3 linked regions of the Macaca fascicularis genome follow. The protein of the gene in region 3 binds, or shares a complex with, the protein of the main gene of each other region. Links are inferred from orthologs where the notes say so. Each region holds a gene or a part of one and is shown on either strand. Other genes may lie near its edges.

Evidence for each region. Proteins that work in one complex are often made in the same cells at the same time.
Region 1: the proteins of RBL1 (region 3) and ARID4A are in contact, whole or in part, in a crystal structure (PDB 7SMC), measured with the Homo sapiens proteins. The link is inferred for Macaca fascicularis from reciprocal best matches to the Homo sapiens genes RBL1 and ARID4A. Residues at the interface, in NP_002886.2 of Homo sapiens: Tyr849, Ile850, Lys853, Val854, Thr860, Phe861, Gln862, Met865, Lys866, Arg869, Tyr879, Arg880, Asp929, Leu930, Ile931, Tyr934, Asn935, Val939, Ala946, Leu947; in NP_002883.3 of Homo sapiens: Leu957, Val958, Cys959, His960, Glu961, Val962, Asp963, Leu964, Asp965, Asp966, Leu967.
Region 2: RBL1 (region 3) and E2F4 share a complex: the UniProt entries of both Homo sapiens proteins name them as parts of the DREAM complex. The link is inferred for Macaca fascicularis from reciprocal best matches to the Homo sapiens genes RBL1 and E2F4.

What each region holds. Positions count from the first base shown.
Region 1 is NC_088381.1:126,210,003-126,213,502, forward strand, and holds part of ARID4A (AT-rich interactive domain-containing protein 4A), read left to right. Parts: coding exon 1-158; intron 159-3,245; coding exon 3,246-3,500.
Region 2 is NC_088394.1:63,216,797-63,221,073, forward strand, and holds the end of E2F4 (transcription factor E2F4), read left to right. Parts: intron 1-650; coding exon 651-878; intron 879-2,470; coding exon 2,471-2,518; intron 2,519-2,738; coding exon 2,739-2,783; intron 2,784-2,879; coding exon 2,880-2,995; 3' UTR 2,996-3,777; downstream 3,778-4,277. Other genes in the region: ELMO3 (engulfment and cell motility protein 3), read left to right, coding at 4,200-4,277. UniProt on the Homo sapiens protein: Transcription activator that binds DNA cooperatively with DP proteins through the E2 recognition site, 5'-TTTC[CG]CGC-3' found in the promoter region of a number of genes whose products are involved in cell cycle regulation or in DNA replication.
Region 3 is NC_088384.1:93,203,980-93,208,279, reverse strand, and holds the start of RBL1 (retinoblastoma-like protein 1), read left to right. Parts: upstream 1-1,500; 5' UTR 1,501-1,573; coding exon 1,574-1,729; exon of another isoform or gene 1,730-2,384; intron 2,385-3,053; exon of another isoform or gene 3,054-3,128; intron 3,129-4,300. UniProt on the Homo sapiens protein: Key regulator of entry into cell division. Directly involved in heterochromatin formation by maintaining overall chromatin structure and, in particular, that of constitutive heterochromatin by stabilizing histone methylation.

The sequences.
Region 1 (3,500 bases), on a different chromosome or scaffold from region 3:
GCAGAAGTCAAAACGGGGACGACCTCCTTTAAAATCAACCCTTTCATCAAACATGCCGTATGGCTTATCTAAGACAGCAAACAGTGAAGGAAAATCAGGTACCAGAAGTGCTCGCAGCAATATACCAGACAGCTCACCTCTGTCAAATGGAATGGAAGGTGCTCGATTTTGAGGATGGCTGACTTTAAAAAAAATAATAACATAAATAATAAAACTTCCATTGTGTGAAATATTCACAGTACAGGTTGAGTATCCCTTGCCCAAAATGCTTGGGACTAGAAGTGTTTTGGATTTTTGGATTTTTTTTTTTTATTATTTTTGAATATTGCATATACATAATGAGCTATCCTGGGGATAGGACCCAAGTCTAAACATGAAAATTAGTGCTTCATACACACCTTATACACATAGCCTGAAAGTAATTTTATACCATATTTTTAATAGTTTTGTTCATGAAATATTGTGTACTTTGAACCATCAGAAATCAAAGGTATAACTGTCTCAGCCACTCATGTGAACAGTCTGTGATTGTTTGGCATCACTGTTATTCTTGACTCTGAATTTATATGCCACCTACTGATAAGTAATTTTCTTACACATAATTACATAACAGTAAAATATATGACTTACAATTAATACAGTGGAAAAATAGTGTGTGTGAGGAAACTAAGCAGCGAGGTAGCATCATCAGAATATCTGTATTGGCTGCTAAACAACACTGACAACAAACAGCAGGCTTTCAATCTCCACCTACGATGCTGTGTTTTCATTAAAAGGTTACCTGTACACTAGCCTGGGGCTGCCGAAGACAGTTGTGCACCTGTGTTTGGATGCAATCTGTCCCATGAGGTCAGGTGTGGAATTTTCTACTTGGGGCATCATGTTGGTGCCCAAAAAGTTTGGAATTTGGAGCATTTTGGATTTCAGGTTTTTGGACTAGGGGTGTTCAACCTGTAAATCACCTAGGTTTTTAATCTCATATGATTGAAACTATAAAATTTGATTTGAAGAAAATATTTTGCTGTATCATTTTTATTTGAAATTTAGTGATGTTTTCATTTAGGAATACTTTTTCTCATAAATATCTTAAAAATAATATATTTTAATAGAAGGTGAATTGACAATCCATGCATCCTAATGTGTTCTACACTTTCCCTGAAAGCCTGTACCAGTGTCTCCTATAAATTCAGTGCTGTTCACCTGGGATCTTTCAGCAAAGCTGAAACCATGTGGTTCTAAGAGAACACAGACTATTGTGGTACAGGCATGTTTTATAATGAGTATAGGTGAACATATTTTATTCTGCTTGTACTCATTTTCCCCACTTTTCTACCTCTGTATACTTTTAAATGTAATTAAGAAATTATAGGCTGAGCGCAGTGGTTCATGCCTGTAATCCAGCACCTTGGGAGGCTGAGGCAGAAGGATCACTTGAGCCCAGGAGTTCCAGACCAGCCATGACAATATAGTGAGACTCCATCTTTACGAAAAAAATTTAAAAATTTAGCCCGGCGTGGTGGTGTGCACCTGTGGTCCCAGCTACTCAGAAGGCTGAGGTGGGAGGATTGCTTGACTCTGGGAGGTCAAGGCTACAGCAAGTGTAATCATAGCATTGCACTCCACCCTGGGTAGCAGAGCAAGACCCTACCTCACTCTGTCACCCAGGCTGGAGTGTAGTGGCGCAATCTCAGCTCCCTGCAACCTCCACCTCCTGGGTTCAAGCAGTTTTCCCGCCTCAGCCTCCCAAGTAGCTGGGACCACAGGTGTGCACCACCATACCTGGCTGATTTTTGTATTTTTAGTAGCAACAGGGTTTTACTATGTTAACCAGGCTGGTCTCGCACTCTTGACTTCAAGTGATCTACCCGCCTCAGCCTCCTAAAGTGCTGGAATTACAGGCATGAGCCACTGTGCCCAGACCCGAAAAAAGAAATTTTAAATGGTTGTCTTACATAAAAATTTCTCTTCTTTCAAGAAAAAAGCTATACTGAACTACATGTTTGCTATTAGTACCTGTGGTGCTTGTGTGCAAATTATAAAAGGACATCCTTCCTCTTTACTGCCATCTGCTGACAAACGAAAGATGTCCACAAAGTGAAAGGTACCTAGACGGCATAACTGTGTTTAGTGTCCAGTCTACAAAACTACGTACCAGCCTTATTAAACTACCACTGAAAGGGATTTTTTAAAACATGAAAATGAATTCTACATTCTGTTTATGATAAAACCACAAAATAAAATTGTATACACCTTTTCACTTAAAAATTCATTTTTGCAGTTTTGAACTTCTTGAGGATATGAGCACCATGTGGACAAGATTTTTATATTTTTTAGATCCTATACAGTCTTAGAACCCTACTTTATTATTTTACAAGTTCCCTTACTTACAGGGAATAATTTTTGTTTCCTGTACTTTCTTGTTTGTTAAGAATATTTAAAGTTTTGAGTCCAGTTGCCCATTTTAAAAACTTTTCTTGCTGGGCGCCATGGCTCATGCCTGTAATCCCAGCACTTTGGGAGGCTGACACAGGCGGATCACTTGAGGTCAGGAGTTTGAGACCAGCCTGGCCAACATGACAAAACCCCGTCTCTACTAAAAATACAAAAATTAGCCGGGCGTGGTGGCCCGTGCCTATCCCAGCTCCTCAGGAGACTGAGGCAGGAGAATGGCTTGAACCTGGGAGGCAGAGCTTGCAGTGAGCCAAGATCACGCCACTGCACTCCAGCCTGGGCGACCGAGTGAGACTGTGTCTTAAAAAGAAAAAAGAAAGAAAAGGAAAGGAAAGAAAACAAACTTTTCTTTCCACAATTATTTTAAGTAGAATGTCATATTCCTTTCTTAGGATACAAAATGCCCATCACATGTCCCTCCTAGATACTATCTCAAACCACTTAACAAATTAACTTCATGTCTAGGATGTCTAGGTACTGATCCTTTGATGTTTTTTTAAGGACTCTAGTACCTAAATATGATACTGGGGAATATTGCAAAATAGCTTTTCATGTAGATTTGAGTTAGTAATACGCAATATAATATATTTTTACTTGGCGCTTAGTGTAGTTTCCCCTCCCCCTCAAATTCTTGGCACAAATGTTATGATTTGTTTTATATCAGAACTTTCTACAGGGAGGTATTCAGAGGTACATGATTAATATTTTTATTGTTATTTTTGGTAAGATTTTTATTATAAAATTACATTGGTAATATAAAAACCTGCATAATATAATAATATTTCCTCTTACAGACTCTTGTTCATCTGATAGTGAAACAGAAGATGCTTTAGAAAAGAATCTAATAAATGAAGAACTTTCTCTTAAAGATGAACTAGAAAAAAATGAAAATTTGAATGATGATAAGCTAGATGAAGAAAATCCAAAGATTTCTGCACACATATTAAAAGAAAATGATAGGACTCAGCTGCAGCCTTTAGAAACCCTGAAGTTAGAAGTTGGAGAGAATGAACAAATAGTACAGATTTTTGGAAACAAAATGGAACAAG
Region 2 (4,277 bases), on a different chromosome or scaffold from region 3:
TTTTTAAATTGAGACGGTGTCTCACTGTGTCCCCCAGGCTGGAGTGTGCAGTGGCGCAATCTTGGCTCACTGCAACGTCCGCCTCCCGAGCTCAAGAAATTTTCCTGTCTTAGCCTCCCGAGTAGCTGGGATTACAGGCACCCACCACCACACGCAGCTAGCTAATTCTTGTACTTTTAGTGGAGACGGGGTTTCACCATGTTGGCCAGGCTGGTTTCGAACTCCTGACCTCAAATGATCCGCCTGCCTCGGCCTCCCAAAGTGCTGGGATTACAGGCTTGAACCACCATGCCCGCCTGAATGGGCCCTTTTTAATAGGGAACCTCTGACTGTGGGAAGAGACATTGCTGGTGGCAGTTTTCTCCCCCAGATCCACATCCACTGGTGTCTCAATTGCCCTGGTAGCCTGTCTTGAAGTACGGCCACAGCAGACATGTTGACCACGAGTCTCTTTCTGTAGGTCTTATGTTCCTGTCTGTCTCCTGTAGTGACAAATTTTAGGTTACTTCCTCGGGGGTGACTGGCAATGCCTAATTCTCCTTGGGTCTGGAAACCAGGCTTGGGTCCTCCTGGGTCTGGGTTCCAGCACAGCCAGGTTTAACAACCTCTTCTTGACCTTGTGTGACTGGGTTTGGGGGCTATCATTGCAGTGAGTGGCGGCCCTGGAACTGATAGCAAGGACAGTGGTGAGCTCAGTTCACTCCCACTGGGCCCAACAGCACTGGACACCCGGCCACTGCAGTCTTCTGCCCTGCTGGACAGCAGCAGCAGCAGCAGCAGCAGTAGCAGCAGCAGCAGCAGCAGCAGTAACAGCAGCAGTTTATCTGGACCCAACCCTTCTACCTCCTTTGAGCCCATCAAGGCAGACCCCACAGGTGGTGAGTACCTGCCCCCTAGGGGCAGAGAGAGAGAGTCTAGCCTCAGTCCAGTCCTAGGTCAGAAACAATGGGGATGGAACCCAGCTCTCCCGTCAACCCTGTCGGACACGAGAGCTCTCTGCCAGCACCTCTGGGTCAGTGCTGGAGCCCCCTCTAGTACCCCATCCTAGGCTAACACAGAACTCCCTGCCCTCTCTCAAGCCCTTTCCTGCCACCTATTGGAGTACCGCCTCACTAATTGACACTTCTCTGTATCACTCTTTCTCATCTTCTCTGTCTCCTTTCTGTCTGGACTCCTTGAAAAAGTAATCTCCACTCATTGGTCTCCTAGTCACCTTTCAAGTTGCAGCAGTCACTCCCCCAGCCCCAGTGTTACAGCAGTGTCACTCTTGAGAAGCTACCAAAGGCCTGCCGAGCCCAGCAGCCTCCAGCCTGTTTTGCTGGTGCTCTCTTGGTCTGTGTCAATATTCTTTCTTCCTTTGGCATAATTATGCCAGCTCTTGGCTCTCTTGTCTCACTGGCTTCTTGAACTCTCCCTGGCATGTCCTTAAACATTGCTGTTTTTGAGGGCTATGTCCCATTCCACTCCTGGAGAGGGCTGTAGCTCTGGGTGAACGAATCCCCAGCCTCCGCCTGGCCTAGATCTTTTCCCGATATGCACTTTGGTGTCCACCTGCCGTCCTCTGTACATCCAATGGACACTTTATTCCTGCATGTCCTCGACTGAAGTTAGTTTCTCCCTGAAGCTTGCTTTCCACCTCTGCACACCCTACCGTCGGCCCTATTTATCCAGGCCTGATCCTTGGCTCTCACTCTTAGTTCCAGCTCCTTCTCCCTCCTCCTTCTGCTGCCCACCCCATGCCAGCTAAGCGAGGTCTGTCCCAGATGTCCTCTCCTATCCCCTGGTATCCTCAGCACTCAGGATGACCCCTGGCCACCTCTGTCCTGGATTCTTCAGCATCTTTCTCTTTACCCTGACTGACAGACTAATCTTTCTGAAATGCAGGCCTGACAGAAAAATGTGGCATTTCTCTGTTTGCAAAAGTACCTTTAATGACTCCCTGAGGGCCACCAGATAAGATCTGAACTCCTGAGCCTGGCATGTGAAATCCCTCATGGTCCTCTCTGGTTGCATTTTCTTCTGCTTCCCCTGTGTCCTCCTGGCCAGAGGTTTGTAGTGGAGTCATCACCCTGTAGCGCCACCACCTCTGCCTGGTGACCTGACCCAGGGTCTGGTCTCTGAGTCTTGCACAGAGCAGATGCTCAGCAAGGGTGGGACAGATGGGGTACCTTCCATCAGACAGGGGGTGCATGCTGAGCCCAGAAAGACGCTTCTGTGACCTTTCTGAGTTAGAAAAGCTGTACCAATCACTTGCAGTGGGCCTTTGGTGCCCTGGGCTCAGCACTGAGGAATTCAGGTTTAGCAAGTGAGGCCAACAGACAGTGCCAGCTTGGCCTAGGCAGGGCCTACTACATCTCCTCAGCTGTGTGGAGCCTCAGGGTGGGTGGTATAGGATCCGAGGAAGCCACGGGGCTGTAGTGGTGCCAGGTTGGACCTCTTGTGTCCTGAGCATGGCTTTCTTGTTTTTCAGTTTTGGAACTCCCCAAAGAGCTGTCAGAAATCTTTGATCCCACACGAGGTAGGCTGCTGCATTCCTCCCTGGGGGTAGGGGTAAGGGACACAGCCCATTGGGTCCTACGGCTGTTTTCTTGCCCTTTTGAGGACCTTGTGGTGGCGCTTATGGTAACTGGGGCAAAGGGTGAAGTTCCTGATGGGCAGGTGGGGTTCCCTTTCCTGGGCTTTGGTAGCTGGAGAGTTGGGAGCTGGAATGTTAGTAACTGAGCTCCCTCCATTCCCAGAGTGCATGAGCTCGGAGCTGCTGGAGGAGTTGATGTCCTCAGAAGGTGGGTGGCCCTGGAAGGTGGGAGTGGTTGTGGGCAGGGGTTGGGCTGCTGCTAGGGGAGCCCTGGCCCAGGGCCTGAGACTAGTGCTCTCTGCAGTGTTTGCCCCGCTGCTCCGTCTTTCTCCACCCCCCGGAGACCACGATTATATCTACAACCTGGACGAGAGTGAAGGTGTCTGTGACCTCTTTGATGTGCCTGTTCTCAACCTCTGACTGACAGGGACATGCCCTGTGTGGCTGGGACCCAGACTGTCTGACCTGGGGGTTGCCTGGGGACCTCCCCCATCCGACCCCTACACAGCTTGAGAGCCACAGACGCCTGGCTTCTCCAGCCTCCCCTCACCACACAGTTCTGGCCACAGCTCCGGCTCCTGTGCTGGCACTTCTGTGCTTGCAGAGCAGGGGAACGGAATCAGCCCCCATCACCGTGGAGCCAAAGTGTTTGCTTCTCCCTTTCTGCGGCCTTCCCCAGCCCAGGCTCGGCTGCCACCCAGTGGCACAGAACCGAGGAGCTGCCATCGCCCCCCCATAGGGCAGCTTGTCCAGCCTCACTGTCTTGCTCCTGCCAGCTACTTCCCCTAGGAGTGAAGGGTGGCATGGAACTGGGCACGTGCCAGCACCGCCCCTAGCTTCCTTCGCTGTCCCCCACCCCCTGACCCTCCAGCTCCTCCTGGCCCTCTCACGTGCCCCCTTCTGCTGGGCCTTTAGCCCTAGAAGCTGCAGGTGGTGGGGGTGGCTACCAAGAAGGAACAGAGGTCTCAGGAGGAGTCTGGGTGGTCCAGCCCTGAGGATTGACCCCACCTCCTGCTGCCCCATATCCTATCTTCATTTCTGCTTATTCATTTACCCTCATTTAGAGCCATTTGCAGAGATTTAGAAAGATTTACAGTAACGAATGGATTCCTATATAAAGATTATTTTTATACTTTTTGCAGCAAAAGGAAATTGTAATATTTGTACAGTGTCCAAGTGAATAAAAACCGTGCCTAAGGCTAGCTCTGATGTGGTTCTTTCGGGACCCTCCTTGGGACTGTGCTGGATTGGCAGTGTGACTGGGTGGGTCACCTTGCTGGAACCGGGGGTGTGGGGCGGCCTCCGGCAGCCTGCCCTCCCCGCCCCCACCTGCTGCACGTAGGTGTGGGGCGGGGACGCCTCGGCGGGGCGGGGCAGGCGGGGCGGGGCAGGCAGAGCCGTCCTACCTTCCTATCCCCGGACTCCAACCCGGAACTAACCTCGGCTCTCATGGGAAGGCCGCACTGCATGGCCAGGTCAGTCTGGGCCGCGAGTGCGGGACACCAAGGTCAGGTCTCGGAAAGAGGGAGGACCTCCTCGTCCCCAGGGGCCCCAAGCCAGGTGTACCCTTGGCCGGAGGTGCACGGTCTCCGAAAAGTGCAGGTGCCCACGCCCCGGCTGGACCATGACGCCTCCGCGGAACGTGGTGAAGATTGCCATCCAGATGCGTGACGCCATCCCGCAGCTCATCCAGCTGGACCAG
Region 3 (4,300 bases):
ACGGGGGCTGCAGGAGGAGCTGCCCGCCAGTCCGGAGCCGCGCCTGCACTCCTCAGTCCTTGGGCGGTCGATGGGACCGGGCCTCACTGAGCAGGGGGCGGCTTCCGTCGGGGAGGCTCAGGCCACGCAGGAGCCCACCGCAGGGGGTGGAGCTCAGACATGGCGGGCTGTAGGTCCCTAGCCCTGGCCCGCGGGGAGACAGCTAAGGCCCAACGAGAATTTGAGTGCGGCGCGGGCGTGCCGGCACTGCTGGGGGACCCAGCGCAACTTCCGCAGCTGCTGGCCCGGGTGCTAAGCCCCTCACTGCCCTGGGCCGGCGGCGCCAGCTGGCCGCTCCGTGTGCGGGGCCCGCCGATCCCCAGCCCGCGCCCGCTGGAACTTACACTGGCCCGCGAGCCCCGGGCGCAGCCCCGGTTCCCACCCGCACCTCTCCCTCCACACCTCCCTGCAAGCAAAGGGAGGCGGCTCCGGCCTCAGCCAGCCCAGAGAGGGGCTCCCACGGTGCCATGGCGGGCTGAAGGGCTCCTCAGGCGCCGCCAGAGTGGACGCTGAGGCCGAGGAGGCGCTGAGAGTGAGGGCTGCTAGCACACTGTCACCTCTCACAACCATTCAGAGGCTGGAGTGAAGTTACAAAGTTGCAAATGAAGACTGGAAGGCGCTCAGTGTGGTTTCTTGTGGACGGTCAATTTCCCATCTGCCATGCATGAAAGGTCCAAGGGAATAACCTCTGGTTCTTTTGTTACTTAGGCGTGGAAAGTTGGGGTTTTCCTTTCAATTTAGTTCTAGGAAGTCACGTGAAACAGCCATAGGTTCCCTACCTCCAGACCCTATTCTCCTGCCTCATTACTGCAGTCTTCTCTGCCCGCGTCTTTTAGCGACTAACATAAGATGAGGATCCATCTTCTAATATCCCTCACCAGTCCTTCCCCTCCGTCATTTAGCGAACCGCTCACTGGGCACTGGGACTTTGGGGAGAGTCCCAGGAGGCCCCTCTTCGTCCAGGGGCTATTTTTTTTCTCTTCCAGCCTCCATCTCCTAACTCAAGGGGTACAGCTCAGTCAGATTATGTTTGGCGCCCCGGGACAGTGACAAACCCAGGGCCCGTGGATAGAGGAGGCATCTCACTACACTGCACGAGGCCACCTCGCAGTAGGCAGCCCAGGCCTGCCCAAAAACCCAGGAGCCTAACCAGGAAGACAGGGGGAGGCCGCGGGCTTCATCTCCCAGGAGATGGACTACATCTCCCAGCAGGCTCTGCGCGCAGGCTGATGATCCCTCCGCTCTTTTTTTTGTCCCGCCGGCTCGGCCCCCCGCGACCAGCCAAGGGCTAAGGCCAGGTATTTCAGAATCTGAGGTCCGTATTCTTATCACATTTCCGGGGAGGGACGGCTAGGAGCTCCGGAGGAAAAACGGACTTTTTTTTGAGGAGAAAAGCGGAGGCAGACGGTGCATGACGAAGCACCCCCGCAACTGCAAGTTTTCGCGCGCTTTGGCGCAGGTGGTTGTGGGTAGCGCGCCTGGGAGGGAGAAAGAAGTCGGGGGCCGTGGCGCGCTGCCCGCGGGGCCTGAAGGGATGTTCGAGGACGAGTCCCACGCTGAGGGGGTGGCGGTGGTCGCCGCAGCCGGGGAGGCGCTACAGGCCCTGTGCCAGGAGCTGAACCTGGACGAGGGGAGCGCGGCCGAAGCCCTGGACGACTTTACTGCCATCCGAGGCAACTACAGCCTAGAGGTGAGCGGCAGCAGGTAGGGCGGCCGGACCCTACCCTCGCCAGGCCCCACCCCTGCCCCGCCCCTTCCCCGGCCTATGGGGTGGTGGGAGTTTCCCCATCTAGGAGGGTCGCTGCGCAGCCAGGCGCCGAGGGGCGGGAAGGGTGGGTGTTGCTCAACCAATCCGCCCATCATTTTGAGGCGGGAAACTGAAGCCCAGGAAAGGAGCGGCCTAGGCCCTGCGCCACTCAAACCCCGGTCTTCCTGACCACACTTTACCCCGCTAAGCGCCACAAACGTCATGGTGGTGCCCTTAAATCAGTAAGAACAAATATAATGGTAAAGTGAAAATGAACTGCCTACCAAGACACCACTGGCCAGAGCTTTAAATGGACCCTCTCAGTTCCGTCTGAACCCCTTCTGTGATCCCCGTTCCACGCAAGAGGAAGCGGAACCCCAGACAGGTTAAGCTACAGGCCCAAGGTCACGCGGTTAGAGATGGAGCCAGACCCAGGGTCTGAGCCGTTTAACCTCCACCCTCTGCTTCATCAGGGTGGAGCTGCTGGTTGCTGTGCAGCGGTTTGATCAAAGCCAGTGTGCATACGAAGCTGATCTCAGCCCTGCGTTTCCTCCTCTGTCAGAGCATCGTCCTAGATGCTTTGCATCAGCGTCTAGCTCTGAATAAAACAAATGTCAGTTATAATTACTCTATTTTTTTCCCCATCATTCTTGCATTTTATCTTCACAACAGCCCTGTGAACATGGCATGGCAATGAGTATTAGACCTGCTTTCCAGGTGATAATGGCAAGGCTCAGAAGGTTGTCTTGCCCAGGGTTATTCTAATACAGAAACCCAGGCTGGGCGTGGTGGCTCACGCCTGTAATCCCAGCACTTTGGGAGGCCAAGGCGGGCGGATCATTTGAGGCCAGGAGTTTGAGACCAACCTGGGCAACATGGCGAAACCCCGTCTCTACTAAAAACTACAAAAATTAGCTGGGTGTGTTGGCGCCTGCCTGTAATCCCAGCTACTTGGAAGGCTGAGGCAGGAGAATTGCTTGAACCCAGGAGGCATAAGCTGCAGTGAGCAGAGATCACACCACTGCACTCCAGCCTGGGCAACAGAGCAAGACTCTATCTAAAGAGAGCAAGATGAGCATAAGCCTGATGGAGTGTATTTCATGTAGCACTCCACTGGCCCCATGTTCAAAGGCTTTCATGTGCCAAGGGCGCTGGACCAACTCCCAGGGTGCACCACTGACTCACCACCCAGTGAAATAATTGCTGGGTTCAAAGGCATAGAGTTGGATGTATATTGACTGTGTGCCTATATATGAAGGAAAAGTACCTGAAAAAGTCTTCCAGACTGGATAGACTGGGTAAAGGACAATGGTCCACATCCGTGGGTGGCATGACTGGAAAGCTGTGAGAAGAATAAGAAAGTAAGGGAGATTAGCCAGAGACGGTGGCTCATGCTTGTAATCCCAGCTCTTTGGGAGGCCAAGGCGGGCAGATCACGAGGTCAGGAGATTGAGACCATCCTGGCTAACACAGTGAAACCCCATCTCTACTGAAAATACAAAGAATTAGCCGGGCATGGTGGCGGGCACCTGTAGTCCCAGCTACTCAGGAGGCTGAGACAGGAGAATGGCCTGAACCCGGGAGGCGGGGCTTGCAGTGAGTCGAGATGGCACGACTGCACTCCAGCCTGGGCCACAGAGTGAGACTCTGTCTCAAAAAAAAAAAAAAAAAGAAAAAAAAAAAGATTAGAATGAATGGCCTCTCAGTTGAAAACAGATTGATTTTTGAAAGCCTGAAAAAGCATTTCTGACATCCTAGTCTCATTTGGTCTCTCTTGCCCAAGGTCACACCATCTGTCATTGAATAAGTATTTACTGTGTCAAAACGGTCAAGGCGTGCACCTGTTTCAGATTCTTGAATATGACAAGCTTGTTCCCAGTTTTGTGGTATATCCGTGCCGTTCCCTCTGCCTGGAATCTTTCCCATCACCCCCAACACCAGGAAAGGTTGAGAGCTAAATCTCTAATTAGGCAGAGTTGAATAGGACAACTTCAATGTTTGCTTTATTTATTTATTTATTGTTTTTTTTTTTTCTTTCTTTCTTTTTTTCTTCCTTAGAAACAGGGTCTTGGCTGGGCACACGGTGGCTCACGTCTGTAATCGCAGCACTTTGGGAGGCCGAAGTGGGCAGATCTTCTTAGGTCCAAGACCAGCCTGGCCAGCATGGTGAAACCCCGTCTCTACTAAAAATGTAAAATTAGCCGGGCATGGTGACATGTGCCTGTAATTCCAGCTACTGGGGAGGCTGAGGCAGGAGAATCACTTGAACCTGGGAGGTAGAGGTTGCAGTGAGACGAGATTGCGCCATTGCACTCCACCCGGCACAACAAGAGTAAAACTCCGTCACAAAAAAAAAAAAAAAAAAGAAAGAAAAGAAAAGAAACAGAGTCTTGCTCTTTTGACCAGGCCTGGAATGCAGTGGTGCAATTGTAGCTCACTGTAAACTCAAACTCCTAGGCTCAAGTGATCTTCCTGCTTCAGCCTCCCCAGTAGCTGGGACTACAGGCATATGCC